Linked DNA regions of Ovis aries. The protein of the gene in region 1 purifies or fractionates together with the protein of each later gene. This does not show direct contact. Links are inferred from orthologs where the notes say so. Each region holds a gene or a part of one and is shown in the gene's direction. Other genes may lie near its edges.

What was found. The genes of interacting proteins can lie anywhere in the genome.
Region 2: the proteins of PML (region 1) and SQSTM1 purify together in Homo sapiens (affinity purification with western blotting; 3 studies listed by BioGRID and IntAct, with this or other methods). This does not show direct contact. The link is inferred for Ovis aries from reciprocal best matches to the Homo sapiens genes PML and SQSTM1.
Region 3: the proteins of PML (region 1) and NDUFS1 purify together in Homo sapiens (affinity purification with mass spectrometry; 3 studies listed by BioGRID and IntAct, counting the BioPlex papers as one, with this or other methods). This does not show direct contact. The link is inferred for Ovis aries from reciprocal best matches to the Homo sapiens genes PML and NDUFS1.

Annotation. Positions count from the first base shown.
Region 1 is NC_056071.1:32,241,780-32,245,429, reverse strand, and holds part of PML (protein PML), read left to right. Parts: intron 1-31; coding exon 32-151; intron 152-562; coding exon 563-812; intron 813-2,127; coding exon 2,128-2,180; intron 2,181-2,852; coding exon of another isoform or gene 2,853-3,590; exon of another isoform or gene 3,591-3,650.
Region 2 is NC_056058.1:1,199,552-1,203,201, reverse strand, and holds part of SQSTM1 (sequestosome-1), read left to right. Parts: coding exon 1-108; intron 109-867; coding exon 868-948; intron 949-3,650. UniProt on the Homo sapiens protein: Molecular adapter required for selective macroautophagy (aggrephagy) by acting as a bridge between polyubiquitinated proteins and autophagosomes.
Region 3 is NC_056055.1:208,273,674-208,277,323, reverse strand, and holds part of NDUFS1 (NADH-ubiquinone oxidoreductase 75 kDa subunit, mitochondrial), read left to right. Parts: intron 1-342; coding exon 343-434; intron 435-2,528; coding exon 2,529-2,636; intron 2,637-3,315; coding exon 3,316-3,392; intron 3,393-3,650.

The DNA of each region.
Region 1 (3,650 bases):
TTCTGACTACTTTTGTGTCCCAACTTTGCAGCCAGAGGAGGTGCCGAGGGACCAGATGCAAGCCGCGGGATTGGCCGTGGTACAGCCGGTGCCAGGGGCACACCCTGTGCCAGTGTACGCCTTCTCCATCCAAGACCCCTCCCGCAGAGAAGTAAGATATTCCCCAGCCCTCCCCTCCCCTTCCCAGGGCCCGGATCCCACTAGGTGGTAAGAGGTGGAATGGAAGTGAGAACCCAGACCTCAATAGGCACTGACTCTGCACTCTCCCAGCTCTTGGTTGCCGTGTTAGGAAGCTTCCCTCCAAGCAGGAGCCCCTCCCAGGGCAGTCAGAAGCCAGCAGAGATTGGTGGTCAGTGGTCACCAGCAGGGCCAGTGTGCCTGCTGACTTGGGAGGACCTCTGTGTAGAGAGGTGTGATCCGCACGGCAGATAGCAAAGGGGACAGGAGGAGCAAAGGGCATGGGGCGGGGAACAGATTCCTGCCACTCAGGTCTGGGTCTCTGCCCACGGCCCCAGTCCCCTTGGAGGCTCCTGACCCTGCCCTGTGACACCCCACTGCACAGGAGGGCACCCACACGCAGAAGAGGAAGGCCTGCCAGACCGAGTGCCCCCGGAAGGTCATCAAGATGGAGTCTGAGGAGGGGGAAGAGTCTAGGTTGGCTCAGAGCTCCCCTGAGCAGCCCAGGCCCAGCACCTCCAGGGCAGTCTCGCCACCCCACCTGGATGGGCCCTCCAGCCCCAAGAGCCCCATCATAAGAGATGAGCTCCCCTTGCCTGAAAGCAACCATCAAACCGGCGACCCTGCAGAGACAGGTAGGGAGTGGGGATGGGCAGGATGGGCTGAGGCCTGCATGCTGTCTTCCAGGGGCTGGGTGGGACCCCTCCTCTGCATCCTCACGCCCTTCCCAGGAAGCCCAAGGCAAGCAGCATTCCCTGTGTGTCTTGCCCTCAGCTGCCACCAAATGGGGAAGGGCAAGCCCAGGGTTTGTCTGGGGGGGGCTAGCGCGGATGGTTTAGCCCATGCTTTTCTGGGATGCCCATATAGGGAGCATGATAGCCTGGGGAACACATTTCCTTAGCTCCTTCCCCTGACACACCCTTTTTGAACCCAGTACCATGCCTCTGCACAGGATGGGTCTCCCCAAACAATGTTTGTTGGTGGGTGTCTAGCACATGCTCAGAGAAGACTTGGGTAAAGTCCACACCCGTCGGTTCCCAAATTTTTTTTACGAAGGCCATCCACCTAAGGTATCTCGCTTGCTCAAGGTATCTTTTATGGCCACTGCCAGACAGGGAGTCCTTTCATGTGAGTGGAGGTCAACCCCCAGAATCCTGGAATGTTCAAGACTGTTCTTCCTGGAGCTCTTTTACCCAGTGTCCAGCATTGTTTTCATTCTAGGTCCCACACTGACCCCTGTCCCCGGTCACACTGAACCCTGACCCTGGCCATACACTCAGCCCCAATGGAGAATCCTCGCTCACAAATGCTATTGGTAATCAGGTTTTGTAAACCTAAAGTATCTTTTAACTCAAACATCTCAGCTCACAGAGCTGAGAATTGGAACAACCAGTGTGCTGCTTTAGGATGGTCAAAGGTTCCAAACCAGGTGGTGCTTGTCACACCCCCTCCACAGGTAGTCAGTTCTGAATCATTCCAGGGCCAGTAGCTGAATTAAGTCGTCACAGACAAGGCATAGCAGGCAGTGATGGAAAGCCACCTTGAGTAACCCCTCCGTACAGGCAGATCCTGGCTTCCCAGGTGGCCCAGTGGTAAAGAACACGCCTGCCAACACAGGTAGACATCAGAGAGGCAGGTTCGATCCCTGCATTGGGGGTCCCCTGAAGGGAGGCACAGCAACCCACTCCAGTATTCTTGCCCGGAGAATTCCACTGGCAGAGAGGCCTGGCGGGCTACAGTCCACAGGGTTGCAAAGAGTCGGACATAACTGAGCGACTAAACAGGCAGATCCACGCTGGCACACACGCTGAATGTTGACAGCCCCCTTGCAGGGCACATGTTACCCACCCAGCCCACTGGCCTGCAAGGATTCCCACAGGAGAACACCCTGGGCTCCATCCACGAGCAGCCCTGGCAGGGCCTAACCCTGTCTCCCCTGCTCCGTTTCAGAGGAGCGCGTCGTGGTGATCAGCAGCTCGGAAGACTCAGATGCTGAAAACCCGGTGAGTTGCTCAGAAGTCTGACCCAGGACACTGCCTCCCCCCATTCCAGGTCCCCAGGGGCACAGCCCCAGCAGGTGACTCTCAGACTCACCTCGCGCCCAGGGGATTTATCAGTGAGGCAGTGAGTCCTGAGCTGTCCGGAGGATAGTCTCCAATTGCCAGCTGTGGCCTGGATCGCCCCAGCCCTCCCATCGTACCAGGGTAGGAGCCATCAGTAATCACACGTACTCTTTCTGAAGGCCTGGACAGGGCTTCCCTTCAGAGCCCTATATCTTTTCTGGACTAGCCAATGCCTGTGTCTGCGGCTTCCTTATGCATTGTCTGCCCTCCTAAGTCTCAGTGAGGGGGGCGGACCTGCACCCGTTCCCCGGTTAACGGCAGTGATGCAGGGCCACATGGGGGTATGAGGGTGCAGGGCAGCACCACGCAGGCCCCAGACTAGTACACTGTGACTCCATGTAAGCAGAACTTCCTTTAAAGCCATCCCACAGTGGGACAAGTGGCCGCACGGGTTGTGACCCTCCTGTCCCTGGAGGTTTGTTCATAGCGGTTCATAAAGGCCAGGCTGTCACCTGCCCAGGGGTGAAAGGGATCGGAATTAGAGTGGAAGGCTGGACTGGGTGGCCCCTGAGGCCCCTGCCAGCCTTCAGTCTGAGGTTCTGTGTTGGAAAGCGTGCGGAGCCCACTGAGACCGCCGTCCTGCCTCCTTCCTCATCCATCCAACCCCCGCCGAGAGCTCGCCGAGCGTCCCACTCCCTCCGGGCCTCTCGTCTGTCCCATGGCACATGCCGCCCCTCGGCTTGGCCTCCCCACCATCCTGCCGAGCAAGCTGCCATCCCCGACGCTGAGAGTCCCAGCCAGCCTGCCGGTCACCAGGAGCAAGCTGCCGTCCACCGTGGGATCAGCTTCCTGTCACGTGGGGCGCAAAGAGCCCTGCGCCCTCGCAGCACCTTTCACCTGCCCCTCAAAACGTATGGTGCCCACAGGTGGCCTTGGCCTCCGTCCATGGGTCAAGCCACCACCCCGGCCACCACTGGGCCTCCCAGCCAACCTGCCAATCCCCAGGAGGATCCCACCTGCCCCCAAAGGGCCAGCGGCCAACCCCACCTGGTGCAACTGGCTGCACGACCCCTTGACCCCTTCCCTGCTGTGTCCCAGTGGCTCAACATCTTTCCCCTTCCTCACCCCCCTGGGATCTCCCAGCGTAACACCTTTTATAGGAGAATAATGCGGGGAGGCAGAGCATCCCAAATTCCTGGAGCAGGGGTCTCCCCTGGGGATTCTGGCAGGGCCCCCATGGAAAATCCCCCAGTCCAGGTCCCCCCGGAGGCCTCTCCAAGTGCATTCCTACCACTCCACCCTCTGGAGAGGCCACCCATCAGCACAGACACCCCGCAGACAAGCCTCTGAGTGTCCCAAGCGCCTCCCTCCTCTGCAGCCCTGGAGCTTGGCAGGTTGGCATCCCAAACG
Region 2 (3,650 bases), on another chromosome or scaffold:
AACATGGGCACTTTGGGTGGCCTGGCTGGGAGATGGGCCCACCGGGGAACTGGAGCCCACGTCCTCCTCAGGCAGGGGAGGCCCACCCTGGCCCTGCCACGGAATCAGGTGAGGGTTGTATCTGCTGGCCTCTGAAGGATGAGATGTGAGGGCCTGCAGAGCTGGAGGGCTTTCCCTGTGCCCTAAAATCCTGCATGCCTGTGGCTGGCCTAGGCACTTTGTGGCCGTTTGTGCATTTAATCCTCATAAAATCCTGCAAAGTGCAAGCATCATCTCCATTGTACATCTGGGAAAACTAGTGCCTCGGTGCTCAAGGCCACTAATGCACCTGCCCCGGTGGCCCTCCCATGCAGGTGGGAGGCCCCTCCAGCGCCTGCGTCTCCAGTCGGCTCTCTTCTTGTTCATGCTAATTGTTAGGAAAGTCACAGCCAGGTTTGCTCAAGTCTTGTAAAACAGTTCCCAAGTTAAAAATTTACACATAGCTTGCATTCTGAACTTTTAGATTCTAGTTTTATTCTGATTTTATTAGTATTACTATGTCCTTTGACTCACCTTGTCCTTAGTGACAAAGATGAGGGTATTTGTTTGAGTAAATAATGCTTTTTCCGGGGGAGGGGTAAATAATACATTATACTCTGTGTACAGAGTTTCTAGGCACCAGGAAGGTAGATGAAGGGGGAGTGGTGTGAAAGACAAAGGGGCCTAGGAGGTGGCCTAGAGAGGGGGAGAGAGGGAAGCAATAGGGTATAGGCTGCTGGGAACAGGCCCCGGGAGTAGGGCTTCTGGGACAGACAGGACTGTGACAGGTTTCAGTCATTGAGAGAGATGCTTTGAATTAAAAGTATCTTTTGTTTTTTGAAACCAAAGCCTCTGGTCCATCAGAAGATCCCAGTGTGAATTTCCTCAAGAATGTAGGGGAGAGTGTGGCGGCTGCCCTCAGCCCTCTGGGTAAGTGCCCCTCCTTTGACATCAGCAGAGCGTTTGGTAACCAGTGTACAGGCGGCTGTTCTGTGGCTTTCAGCTGGGATACTGCAGAGGAGGGGCAGCTGATGTGTCTTTGAGACCAGTAAGGATTCGCTGGCCTCATATCAATCAGTCTTGACCAAGTGCTGCACCACAGGCCGCTTGAGGTTGAACTCCCTGACAAATTCTTTAGCTTTCCACACAGAGTGAAGTGGAATCAGCCAAGAATCAGCCAGCATTTGGTTGGGTAATCCCACTAGGGAGGGTAACCAGGCTCAGTTTAAGGCTGCCCTTCATCTTCTTCCTTTGGAAGACCACTCTGTATTTCTCCTTACTTGAGCCTTGGGGTTTCTTTGAGGACTTCAGTGAGTAGTTAGCTGAGATGCCATATTGCTTTTCTTCCCTTTTCTGCAACCCCCAACCTTTCCTGGTGCTTCCTAAGAACTGGGCTTGTGCCACTGTCAGAGGGAAAGGAGTGAGGGAGGAAGGTTCTCGTGTCTGCTGCTGGATTCCCAGGGTGCAGGCCCAGGGTGGGTGTCTGGGTGGGTGAGCTGTGCACCTTCATAGAGTGACTTGGCCCAAGGCTAAAAATAAAACTTCAAACAGCACTTGCTGTGTTGTGGCCATAAGAATCAGCTGATGAAGGTGACTTATGATGGATCCATGATGCCATCTTTGTGACTGCAGTGGCAGGAAGTGTTACCTGGTCTGTCCAAAAGTGGTGTCCAGTGTCTGAAAGAATGCTGTAGGAGGGTGTCCAAGCTCACCCACCACCCGCCCTGTGGCTCACAGAGCATGACTGCCATTGCTTCCAACCTGAGACCATTTCTGCTCACATTGAAGCAGCTTTGAAGTAGCAGTGACATCTTGGCATCACTGCTACATGAAATAGATCTCACACAATTTCTGCATTGGAGTTAAAGACTTTTGAGCAAGTGAGGAAAAATAATTAGTATATTTAATGCTTTCTAAGGAGGGTAACAGTGGAGTAGAGATGAAATAATTGGGAGATAGGTTATTCCTAAACTCTGCCACTCACTTAAGACATAGTGAAGACATAGTAGGATTTTAAGTAATCCCAACTAATGGGTTGTTACTTAGAGGCCATGGAAAATTTTTCTTCGGAAGATAGTAAATGGACAGTGGTTCTCAAGTGCACTGAACATCAGAATCACCAATGAAAGGTTGATTTTTATTTTTTGTTTTTGTTTTTTTATGGGAGGGTATATATTTTGGTGTATGGAAACTCTTAAAACTGATTATCCTGAAGAGAAAAGTTTTCTTTTGAAAGAATGAACAAGATAACTTGGGAAGTCACAAAACCACATCTACATTCAGGCAGGAGACTGTAAAACAGTGAGGAGTTCCAGGTCCCTTGATTGGTTAAGTGGATTTTGGGTAGGGCATGAGGGTCGATGTGTTCTGAAGGCTTCCCAGGAGACTGTCACACTTGCTTTCCATCCTGAGACCCATCTGAGCTTGTGAAGTGTTTCAGAACTGGACCTGGATTCTCCACTCAGGACACAAGGGAATAATTTTAGAAGTGTTCTGAGGTCTTCGGCAGTAAGAATTAAGGCTCTCAGGTCTTTCAGAGTGGCGGGAGTGCTTTCTGCTAACTTGGGAGGAGTCTGGAACCCTACAAAACAAGTTTCAGTGGAATGTGTGTTTGAGTAGCTATTCAAGAGAGCCATTCGAGGGATGGATTAAACTCTGTCTTTGGAGTTACAGGTATTTTCCTTTCTTTTGAGGAACTAACAGGATAACTCAGTCTACTAACTGCTTAGAAGGGAACATTAGTTCCAACAGCAGGGGCCCAGGAGGGATATAACCACTAATACCTCTCAGAGGGCAGTCTGTACAGTGAGTCAGCGACTGAGACCTTTTTTTGATAAGTGCTGTGAGAGCCAGCTGAGCAAGAGCATGAGCCCAGGGCTGTACCTGGCTGGAGGTCACAGCCACTGACTCCTAGGATGTAAAACAGCAGGGCCGTGGAGTCTTCCACAACCCCTACATAGAGGCTTTGGGGATAGCAGGGCAGAGACTGTGGTACAGTCTTCTAAGCCCTGAAGTCTCAGATTATCATCAAGTTGGAAAAACTCTAATTCAGTAATCTCGAAAATTCATTACAGAAGAGTCGCATCATTCACCCATTTTAGAAAGTATATGGGTATCCATTGTACTGTTCTTCTGTCTTTTCTGATTATTTGAATGTTTCACAATGAAAACTGCAGGGGAAATGGAAGAAGAAAAACAATGTAAATATTGCAGATGGGGTACCAGTTGCTAAGCCTGCTTTTATTTTCTCTGCTTGCTCCTCATACTCTACTAAAATAATAGTGAAGGGGTTAAACAAAATAAAGCAACATGGATAAAGAAAAAGGGAAAAAAATAATGGAGGACAAGATAAAACAATCTCATCAAACTTTGGAAGATGGAAAATGGATGGAGGAAAGTAACCAAGGTGGGATAATTTGAGGATTAATCCTGGAGGCCCAACATAGGATGAAAGAATTCCAGAGAGAACAGAGTAAACTGAAGGGAGGAGATGAACAAATACAAGACAGTCTCTCGGCACTAGGACCATTAACCTCTGGATTAAAAAGGGCCCCAGATGCCTTGGACAAGGCCTGAAAAAGACCCCACACCAGAGCTTAAAATTGTCCTGTCAGAACCCTTGGGACAAAGAG
Region 3 (3,650 bases), on another chromosome or scaffold:
AGTTATAACTGGGACTTCCTGGCAGTCCCATGGTTAAGACTCTACACTGACAGTGGCAGGAGGCACGGTTCAATCCCAGGTAGGGAACTAAGATTGTACACATGCCACACAGCAGGGCCAAAAAAGTTACAGCCTAAACTGCTGTTAAAAATAGACAACTATATTCCATTTGGTATTAAGGATTGGAAAAGCTTTCCTCTAATTCACTGTTTTAAAAGTCTGCATCTAGAGAAATAGAAGGGAATAGTATAAAATGAGGAAAAAACTTAGACCTGTAGGTTAGTTATGTAATCCATTACCCTCTGCTAATTTCATCTTCACCTCAATGTTTTGGATGATCAGTTCGAACAACTGCCACAGCAGCAAGCAACTTGATTGAAGTATTTGTTGATGGTCAGTCTGTCATGGTGGAACCAGGAACTACCGTCCTTCAAGTAGGCATTAATTTTAATTCTTTATTTTTGTGCATAATCTGATAAAAAAAAAAACAATTTATTTTCTTGATACTGTTTACTTCTAAAATTTTCAAGATTCCTTGACAAATGCTCTTTAAAGAACTGTAGATAGTAAAATTATATGAAAATAACTTTGATTTGAAATCTTGGCATATCAGAATGAGCTTTTCTGTTTCTGACTTTCTTAATGAACTATAGCAATTCTTTTGTTTCACTTCTGCCTTACAAATAAATTCCTATTTAGAAATTTTAAGTTATGTGAAATAAATTATTAGTTAATATGAGTAAGTTTGGGAGAAAGGTAATCTTTGTTGTGAGCCTGCTTGATGCACATTTATGTAACTTTCCTGTTTTTAACAATATTTCTAGGAAGGTGTCCTACAAAGCACGTAAATGGAGGGTAGTAGGTTCTTGAATTTATGCCCCAAACACTTAATATCTCCAATTTCTTCCAGAACTAACAAAATTGGTCGTGGAGAAGTAGTGCTTTATTCCACTGTAAATTATTGCAGAGCTAAATACTCTTTGTTCATTTTAGCAGTAACTTTTGCACCATCAGGCGTAGAAATATAAACAATAAATATATAACAAAAATATGTTCCGTGTACAGTGGAGAGTATTTTGGCATGAATAGGAGGTGGTAGAAGAGATGTCATAAATATCTCAGATGATCCCTGAGAAGTTTTTAAAGGATGAATAGATGTTTATATGTGGACAAGGAAACTTCAGGTCATTTAGTACTGGTGAAACAAGGTATGTGTAGAAGAGGAGATAGCAGGAAATCAGAACTGTGATGTTGGAGAAGATCTAGTCATTAAAGATAGTCAGTGCAATGTTAAAGAGCTTGTAGTTTGGCCCATCAAGAGTTTTCATGGCTACTAAGCAGTATGACATTGACTGTAGAGGATGGTGCTTTGGAGATTAAGATTAGAGTGAGACAAGGATAGAGTATATCTTGCATTAGTGGAGCAGGAAATGAGAAGGCCCAAAATTGTGGCAATGGAAATGGAAACAAAAGGGTATATTCATGAGAGAGTGAGATGTAGATAGACAGGCCTTTTGGAATGATAAAGAGCAGAGGAGTTTTTGTGAATTCTGGCTTTGTTATCTTACTTGGGGATATATAGGAGGGGACAGGGCTTGCCTGTGGCTCAGATGGTAAAGAATCTGCCTGCAATGCGGGAAACCCAGGTACGATCCCTGGGTGGGGAAGATCCCCTGGAGACGTAGGGGACGGAAATAGATTGAATTTTAACTGTCTAAAGAACATGCACACGAAGTGGAAGACTGTCAGGATTGCAGATGAAGGTTCGAATGTAATCAGTATGTAAGATGAGCTAGTGTAAAGGTTGGGACAGGACCCACTGCATCTAGCACACAGGAAGACTTGGTGCGTTTTTATCAAATTGTTAAAAAATATTGAAAATTGATGAGATTGCTTTAGAGTGAGGGCTAAGGATGGAATAACTAACTCTCGAAATTTAAGTGCATTTATAGGCTCAGAGAAGGAGCAGGGAAAATTGGCAGAGCTGAACTAATCCCCCTCACTAGGCAAATGGGAACTGAGAAGAGCCCTTAGCCAACAGTGGGGAGTCCTGAGTGGGATATATGGGGCCAAACACAGAACCAGATTATAGCCACCTAGATGGTGTGAAATGAAGTCTAATCTAAAGGAGGAAAGCTAGTCAATGAGGAACTCCAGGGACGTGAAGCCACTGGGACAGAGTTTGAATGAGGAATCTTTGTAGAGAATGGTCCAGAGGAGACGTGAGTAGTCAAACACAGTCTGAGGATGCTTTATCCAGTTTTTAGGCATGGTGAGGATCTTTAAAGAGGTATCTTCAGAGCAGACAGAGGTTGGAGTCAAGAACAAAGAAAAGGAGGGAAATCTCTTTGAGGATGAAGGTAGAATGAAGACGCAGATATTTGGAGTTAGGAGTAATTAGATAAGTAGTGGATGGCCTCATTTTTTTGTTGTTTGATTTTTGTTTGTTTTATTTTTCCTGTGTTTTAGACAAGACACAGATGAGGTCAGGTTATTCTACTGCAAATATTTTTTACTTTCTTTTCTAGGCTTGTGAGAAGGTTGGCATGCAGATTCCTCGATTCTGTTATCACGAAAGGTTGTCTGTTGCTGGAAACTGCAGGATGTGCCTTGTTGAAATTGAGAAAGCTCCTAAGGTACTGAATACCTAAAATTACACACCATGCTGTAGAAGGTAGAAAACTTAAAATTATGTAGCAAACTTTATTTAAAATCAGTATTGTTGTAACCAAGAGTCTGGTCCTGTTTACTCATATCTATAAATTTATTTTCTGTGTGATTGATTCTCTTCATTTCACAACTGGAAACACATCGAAGAAAGTACTTTATAAGTACAAGTCCTATATAATTGTAATGTTTAGAAATTAAAGAGACCTTCTTAGAGCAGTCAGTATTTCCAAATGTCTGTGTGACACACAACATTGGAAGTGCTTGTACTGTGCCATTTTTCACTAGAGAAAAGGCTTGCAGTGAAAAGGTTCACTTTCAATTTAACTCTGTTTTGGCTTATGCAATTTTAGTTCAGTAGTGCCTGCTCATCAAAACAGTTATTTGATGTTCTGTTTCAGAGCCTCTTATTAAAACATCATATTAATTATTATAATAAAATTAAGATGATGTCTTATTTTTAAGAGAAATGTAAAGTGCCAGACTATCATAAATATGAAAACTGAAAAACTCAATCTTCCAAAATATTCTGTTCTTTGCTTGTTTTCAGATATATGATTTAATATTTTTATATATTGGATTACTTATAATTACAAATAAAATTTGTATAATTACAAACACTTAGAGATTTCTCCATTGAAATTCCAGGTTGTAGCTGCTTGTGCCATGCCAGTAATGAAAGGTTGGAATATCCTGACAAACTCTGAGAAAACTAAGAAAGCCAGGTACGTTATTGTTAACTCAGCATAGTGACTTTTCTTGGCAGAAAATTGCACATCTCAAAATGTAGACCTTCCTGTAGATGAGAAATTCAGTATCAGACTCTGAAGAAGTTGTGCTTAGCTTCTAGCAGCAGTTGGAAGTAAGTACACATAGAGGAGGTGAAGTCAGGTGTTTATGTTTTTGAGTCTGTGCTGGAATCAGCATTAAAAACCCTTGTTTAGAACTTTGCTCAGCTTATGATGGCAGTGGGTCTGGGGCTT